Nothobranchius furzeri: one gene and its partner. The protein of the gene in region 1 purifies or fractionates together with the protein of each later gene. This does not show direct contact. Links are inferred from orthologs where the notes say so. Each region holds a gene or a part of one and is shown on either strand. Other genes may lie near its edges. The genes, in order: ppil2 and znf830.

What was found.
Region 2: the proteins of ppil2 (region 1) and znf830 purify together in Homo sapiens (co-immunoprecipitation; 4 studies listed by BioGRID and IntAct, counting the BioPlex papers as one, with this or other methods). This does not show direct contact. The link is inferred for Nothobranchius furzeri from reciprocal best matches to the Homo sapiens genes PPIL2 and ZNF830.

The regions. Positions count from the first base shown.
Region 1 is NC_091750.1:38,469,739-38,473,560, forward strand, and holds part of ppil2 (RING-type E3 ubiquitin-protein ligase PPIL2), read left to right. Parts: intron 1-494; coding exon 495-570; intron 571-1,952; coding exon 1,953-2,059; intron 2,060-3,822. UniProt on the Homo sapiens protein: Has a ubiquitin-protein ligase activity acting as an E3 ubiquitin protein ligase or as an ubiquitin-ubiquitin ligase promoting elongation of ubiquitin chains on substrates.
Region 2 is NC_091751.1:50,905,095-50,909,036, reverse strand, and holds znf830 (zinc finger protein 830), read right to left. Parts: upstream 2,208-3,942; 5' UTR 2,098-2,207; coding exon 1,075-2,097; 3' UTR 531-1,074; downstream 1-530. Other genes in the region: ankyrin repeat domain-containing protein 13C, read left to right, coding at 3,495-3,852.

The DNA of each region.
Region 1 (3,822 bases):
TGGAACGTATTCAATGTGCCGTCCTGTTGGACTTGATCCACCCCGGTACCAAAGGCAAATGTGTGCTACATAACTCATCTGATGACTGGGAGACGAGTGGCCTGTGACCCGTTTTATGGATTAGTAAAGTCAGTTTCCACAAAAGACCATCCACTGCTTTTCCCGACTGCACCTTTTCTTTTCTAAGCCCATTTCTGATTCACTCTCCGTGCAGCTAGCAGGGTTTCTGTGCAGGTTACAATAGGAGAATAGAAAAGTAAACGGCGTTCCTCCCACTACTAAACCCAAACCAAAAACAGGGTTTCAGTCAGTAGAAGTAGGAAACATTGTTGTGCAGAGGTCATAAAAGAGGTCAAAGAGCTGACGGTGGGTGTTTTAGAGGTCACATCATATCTCATGTGTGGATGAGCTTTAACCTTTCGTACTCGCCATTTATTAGTATTGAAGAGGGCAAAAAGCCGACCTGAAAGCCATGTTTGTGTTTGCCCCCCCAGGCCCACTACTCAACAGGAAGAGTTTCTGCCTCCTTCACATCTACGGCTATGACTCCTGCAACGACACACGAAGCAGGCGAGTCTACATCTCACACAGATAGATCCTCTGCAGCAAAAACAAGCCTTCATCTCTCCTTAATCTGGTTGCGTTAATCTCTGTGCTGAGAGGCCTGGTTAGTCGTGTGTGAGCTTTCTTCGTGCTCGCAGAGCCGGTAATGTTGTCACCCTGTCAGAGAGCGGACCGCTGCAGCGAGAGGGAGTCGCTGTTATGCAACACTAGTAGGTTCAGACTTCAGAGGAGGACAGCGTTTGAATCTGGTGGCCTACTTCAGTGTTCTTAATGCGGCTGGGGCGTGTTTGGTAATCCAAGAACAGATAAGAGGTCTAAAAAGTATTTGAAATAAAAAGTTTAGCATAAATGTTCTGGAATAACAGACGTGTGGCTCCAGTCCTGGTTCTCCAGGGTCACGATCGGCACGTTCGGTGTCCCCTGCATGGTGGCACAGTTGGCAGAACTGTTGCCTAGCAGCAACGTGGTTGCGGGTTTGAATCCCAGTTACAGCCTTCCTCCGGTTTCCTCCCACAGAACGAAAACATGCATGTCGGGTTAGAATGAAAGCGTCGGCACAATAAAAAGAAACAAACATGTCTTCTAACCGGTTTGATGACCTGCTGAACGGGTATCTGGTGTGCCGGAGCAGGGAAACATCTAAAACATGCAGGATAGCTACTCAAGGACCAGGCTCCATTTGTTCTATTCAACTAAACATTTTTTATTTGGCTCAACTTCCTTTTTATGGGACGCTCGAGTTCAAAAACCCAAACTAGCTTCATTAAGTTATTTCTAGTTAATCAAAGAGCAGGAAGGTTGTTACGAAATGACCTTTTGAACCCAGAACCCTCTTTTCTCCGTCTGATTCATGTCTGCTCGTTAAAAAGCCAAATAACAGATCGGCTCTGATGGAAGCCGCGCGGAGCCAGGCGGCAGCACGGGCCGGCCCTCTGAAAGGACACAAAGGACCACGTGCTCGGTCCACCGGTGGAGGACGGACAGACGAGTGCTCGGGTCAGAGGTCATGAGCAGAAACTACCTGATTAAATGTTGCTACGGAGATGAGGAGAAGCCTGGTGGAGGTTTGGAGAGCATCCTGTGGTTAAATGACGTGAAGATCGATGTAGAAGACATTTTGGGTCAGAGCAGTGACGAAGATGGGAGGATAATGGTCTGGGGACGTTTCTGGATCACGCGGAGAAGTTCCCTAAAGCTTAGTTTAAGGGCTGATTTGTTTGAAATACTGTAGTTCAGATTCCTAAATAACTATTTCCCAAACTAACACTGAATTATCTTTATACTCCAACATTTCCAGGCTTATACAGCATTTATTTCATTATTTACATTTTCTGTCCGTTATGAAACCATATTTAATTATTCCGTGTTTATTTCTGTTCTCTGTACAGATGCCATTGCCGACGACACGGTTCGTTATCAGTATGTGAAGAAGAAAGGTTACGTCCGTCTGCACACCAACGTGGGAGACCTGAACCTGGAGCTGCACTGTGACAAGGTAAAAACAACAATCAGGCCAAGAAGAGCCGCTGATGGGGATGAAAACCGCAGTTATTTATCGTCGGAACAACGTTGGTCTGAACATTTAACCTGTTGTCTCTTAGGTCTTTTGGGTAAAACTACAAGTCCCATGATGCAGCAGTCCTGTCAGGAGAGATTTTCCATTAAAATAACCCACTTTTTTCTCCATCAGTTTCCAAACTAAAATAAATGAATCTGATACTTTCCTGTGGTTATGAACTCACCGAGCACAAACCGAGTCATCAGAAACTGAAACGGATCTAGATTCTGGATCGGCCGTCGCAGCTGCATTAAAACCCAGGGTATCCGCGGGTCCTTAAAAAGTCTTAAATTAGCTTTTCCAAATTTAGAGGCCTTAAAAATCCTTACAGTTTCCAAAGGTCTTAAATTATCAAAGACCCAATAAACAAGATTCTTTTATTTCTATAAAATGTTTGTGAATTTTTAGTTAGTGTTCAGCATCTTTTGTGTACGATGTTGGCGTAAGCGGAACCGTACACACTCAGTTGGTTGTGAAAGGGGGATATTTTTAGAAGGGCACATTAGCTGGTTGAGCTAGTGGGAGCTTGCGCCATGGGGAAGTGCAAGTTTAATGTTAACTGGATGGCTAATCCCACGTTAGCACCGGTTCCAGGCAATAGCTGAAATTATAGCTTAGATTTAATTTTAAAAATAGCTTAAATTTGGTCAAAGTGGCCTTAAAAAAGGTCTTAAAAAGTCTTAAATTTGACGCCCTTAAACCTGCAGATACCCTGAAACCAGAACCGTGCATCTCTATCGGAACCTTAAATGACTACCTGCTCAGTGGCCAGGTGGTAGTGTCCACCCTGAGACTGGGCTCAAACCCACGGTTGGGTCATACCAAAGACTTGGGACCCAATTGGTTAAACCACCAAATTGTTCCCGAGCGCAGCCACAGCTGCAGCTCACCACCCCCTCAGAGGACGGGTCACATGTGGAGAACAAATTTCACACCAAAGAGTGTGACAGCTGGTGGGACTTAACCGACTAAAGCTGATTTTATCGCATTTGATTTGATGAAACGAGGAAGTTAAATCTTAAGACTTGTCCATGGCTGACTTCTCCGCTTCCCGACGATCTAAAGTACATTTTCAGGTTTCCAAACGAGTTTGCATGTTCGACGTTCTTCAGCTGTGCACAGAAATACAAAATGAGCCTTCGTGATTCTGCTGCAGCAGCAGGGTCACAGATACAGAACTGTCGTCCAACTCCTGGGTTCAGAATCAGAGGAGAGAAATATTCATCAGCAGTTCCACCTCCAGATGTTCCAGAAATCTGTTGCATCTCACATCGCATCAGTAAATGTTTTTCTGTTCCAGAGTTGAGTTTTACTGCTAAAATGGAAGGAATGTTGCTGTTGTGGGTTTTAGAGGCTCTTTGTGCTGTTTGTTGGTACCGTTTGGCACAGAGTTGAACTTTAGCAGCGGGTTTGTGATGCAGGCGGAAACGAGCTCAGAAAGTTGTCCCCCAGCAAAAGAGCCAGAGAGTAAAATAGGTTTTACGAAGCAGCTGTTGTTCTTGGAAACCATCATCATGTTGCCAAGGAGGGGAAAAGTTAGCGACTCACTCCAGTAGACCCCATCACGGCCTAAGCCCCGCCCTGTTCCAGATCCGGCTCCGGTGAGATGTTTTACAGCAGGGCCCAGATACCGCTCTGTGTTTGACGGCAGCAGAACAGAGCAGCTTTTCAGATACCTACACGTCTGCTTCAGGCGACAC
Region 2 (3,942 bases), on another chromosome or scaffold:
CAGATCTAATGTAGCCAGGTCTTTGGTTTATTACAGTAAACCACCGATGACCATTGGTGTTGTTTTAATCTCATTCCCGAACACCAGTCTTTCTATATTCTTTTCATCCATTTCCTCCATTTTCCATCAGGCTTTTCTTGACCCATCAAGTTCCAAATGCTCTCATAAACACCCGGTACAACTTTTAAACTCTGTGTTTACAAACGAACACTAGGAATGGCATTGTCAGACAATTATTCACCTCAAGTGAATACTGCAGTTTAAACCTTTTGGGATAAAACAAAGTGTTTTTGTTCTGTATTTATTCCTCCTTATTTTCACCAGGTTTATAACGGATCACATAATCTGTTCATGTATTTATACTTTTTAAAATTTATTTTGTCATGTTTTGTAGATATGAAGGGCTATGAACACTTTGAAGTGGTTGTTTATGAGACATGCAGCAATAAGTAAGTTTGAGATGTTGCAGTGGGAAAAAGGCAACCCTAGCTCATCATATATATAAAAGGTAGTGTAAGAAACACTGACAATCACTATTTCCAATACATTTTATTGCATTTTAATAGTGCATCTATCTACATCGCAGAAATATAAAACTTTGTTGTGCTTTGTACAAATGTATTATTAACTGGTTATCTTGTTAAGGGGGCCAGCTTGTTGAAACTTAATTTATGGTCTTAATCACAATATTTTAATGATTTAGTTCTGCAAATGTTGATTTTTGATGTGACATGAACTTTTTTTTTTTCATTAAACATGTCATCAATAGGTTATGCAGGACAATGGTTATTTGAGCTCATGTTGTCAGGGCCTTGGCCGCCATCATGGTGTAAATTGTTGCTGTAAATGAGATTTTATGATTGTTTTTTGTTTGGGCACCAATAAAGATGATAAATGGTTTTATTTTGTGGTCATTAACTGATATTGTTTCTGAGTTTTACTCACATCTTGCAACTTTGTGTTAATCACTGTAATGTTATAGAAAAACATGAGCATTTTTAAATCAAATCTATTTATAAATCTTGAACTGAAATCTTTAAACAAAATAATTGTTGAGTCAGTAATAAAGTTCCTTCAGGCCAGAGCCCCTTTAGCCCTCCAGTCTCGAGACAAAAGCCCCAGGAGCCCTTCTTCATCCTCCTCATCATCTTCAACAGTCTCCTCTGTTTGAATGCGTTCACTAGGCACGTGCACAACCTTCCTTTTCAGCACTTCTCTCTTATCCCTGAGTAGCTCCACTCTTTTGTAACACTCAATTTGTTCATCAATTTCATCGATCTGGCGTTCAATGCGACCTTCTTCGTCATCCTCCGCCACGATGGCCTCTGATTTGGTGTTCACCTGTCGTATCTCCTTCTGAAACTCTTCCCACTCTTTGTCCATATGATCTTTTGGTGCATCCACGTTTCGCACTTTGGCGTCCCTGACTGGGTCGTCGAAAAAGCCTTCAGGGAGCGCCTCTGCTGTGTTATCCTTCTTCTCAATGGCCTTTTCCTGCACGTCTGCTTTAAGGATTGATCCTGAATGGGAAATGGCAGGTGTGGATGGGATGGAGCTGTCAAAGAAGTCAGATGGTAGTCCTGCAACTTCAGTCTTCTGAGCAGGTGGATTCGTCTCATCAGCTTCCTCTTCCTCATCATCATCCCCGTCATAAACACCGGCCAAGAGACTCAGTCCTGCAGACTTTTGAGCAGGGACAGCAGCTTCATCGCTGGGTTTATCGAAGAAATCTCCAGGAACTCCTGACGCAGCCTGACCATCAACCGCCGCTGGTTTTGCCTTCTTCCCAATAGCGTCTTCGCTGTCTGACGCTTTCCTCTTCACCGCTTGACTCGGTGCAGCCACTGATTGAGTCTTGGCTGCCTTCAGCTCAGCAACCTTTTCCTTATGCTGCTTTCCAAGAACATGGGCTGGCCACAGTAGCTCCGACTTCACTTGGACGCTGCACAGGACACAGCTGAGGTGACCGAGACTGTTGTATTTAGCGAAAGGAGACACGATGCGATTCTTCTCGGTGGTTTGTCTTTGTTTCTCTCTCATCAACCGTCGAAGCTCTTCTTGATTTACTGCTTTCTTTCCTTTTTTAGAGGATGCCATTTTTAATAACACGTCTTGTTAGCCAGGTAGCAACTAGCTCACAACACCGTAAAAATACGTCTCATGAAGATGACGTATCTTCTTCGTCTTTATCGCGGGTAAAAGGTAACGCCTAGCTCATTGCTGCCATCAACTGGATTTGAACTGGAATAACACAACCTACATTTTTTATTTCTTTCTGATTTTGAATGAATGCCCCTCTCACTCCTTTCCACCTTTTTTAACCGTGTTTAGCAACATTTTGGAAACTTTTGGGTTCATAACTATTAAAAGTCACGTATTTGACAATATGGCTGATATTATGTTTTTGCACAATGTTTAGTTATTTGTTAACGATTCCTTCTGTGTTTAAAATGATAATTGGGTAAAGGCCTATCTAAATTTACGAGATTTTTTCGGAAAAGTTTCAGTTATTCTTGGCAGACACTCAAACTACAAGCATATAAAAACAACACTAAAACTATAAGATATAAAAAATAAAAGACTAAATAACATTAATTGAGATTACATGTATTTTTTCTGCAACTAATTATTAAAATGAGCCTTTAAGGTATCTATGAAAGTGTATGGAAGTCAGTAATACTAACACGTGGGATGTGAAAGCGCCAATATAAGTGTCAAATCAAGCTGACATGCATGTTTTTGGTTTGTGGGAAACCGGAGTCATAAACTTTTCATGTGTCATAAAAGTTGTGTTTTCTAAAATATCACATTAACATATGTCTGTTCTTGGAAAAGCAATTTTATATTTCGTTGAAAATAACGGCATAAAAATGAACAAGTGTATACTTTAATTTTTGTCTCGTGTTAAAACACACAATATACCTTGGTTGAACAAAAATAATACATTTTTTTTACATTTTCTTTTATTAGCTGTATTTTAGAAGTTACTAAATCAACATCCTGTCTTTAAATTAATCATATTAATTTACTCTTTAAACCAATAATCTCGCGAGATTTGCGGTACACCGCTGGTGCTAGCGAGAATGTTAGCTTTTTGGTTTATTATACCAACCTGTCCGCCCCACTTTTGCTGCAAAGACTGAATCGATAATATTAAAACGTAGATTTAAGGTGCGATAGAATAGATAACGATGTAGCCGTCGTTAGTCGCTGTACGTTTTAGCTTTATGTTATTTTAGTACAAGTGTTATTTTGGGTTTAGCATTAATTTCTGTTTTCATCGCCGCACCCACCATATTCATTATTTTATTGTGGGCTAGCTAGCTAGCGCCGGGGGAGCTAATTGACTCGGGACAACAGCTGTAACGATATTTAATCAAATATTTAAAACAAGCAAATATTTGTCGTTTATTTGCGGAGCCTTTCAGTGCTTTAATAAACGCCACGCCTTCACCAGTTTGTAATCTAGTAATTAGCGTACTGTAGTCTGCACCATGACAGGTGAAAAGATCCGCACCATGCGAAAAGATCACAAAAAAGCAAACAAAAACCAGGAGATAACGGACACCTACGAGGAAACCTCTAACGGTACGATCTCTAACGACACTTACAACCACTTTAAATCCAACAAGGCTTTTCAGAAATCAGTTAAAACCTCCGCGCTGCAGCAGCAGCTTAATGCAAACAACATCAACGGAAACGCATCAGTGAAGGACGATGACAACAAAAACCCAATTATCCTGACCAGTGATGAGCTGGAGTTCCCTGTTCATGAGTGTGTGTACAAAGGAGATGTGCGTCGGCTCTCTTCTCTCATTAGGACCCACAGCATTTCTCAGAAAGATCTACATGGTAAAACGCTAATTTCGTTGATTTTAAATGCTTTAGGATTGTTTATTTATCTTTCTGTACTACCAGTCTGGACAAATGTGCTTGTTTTTA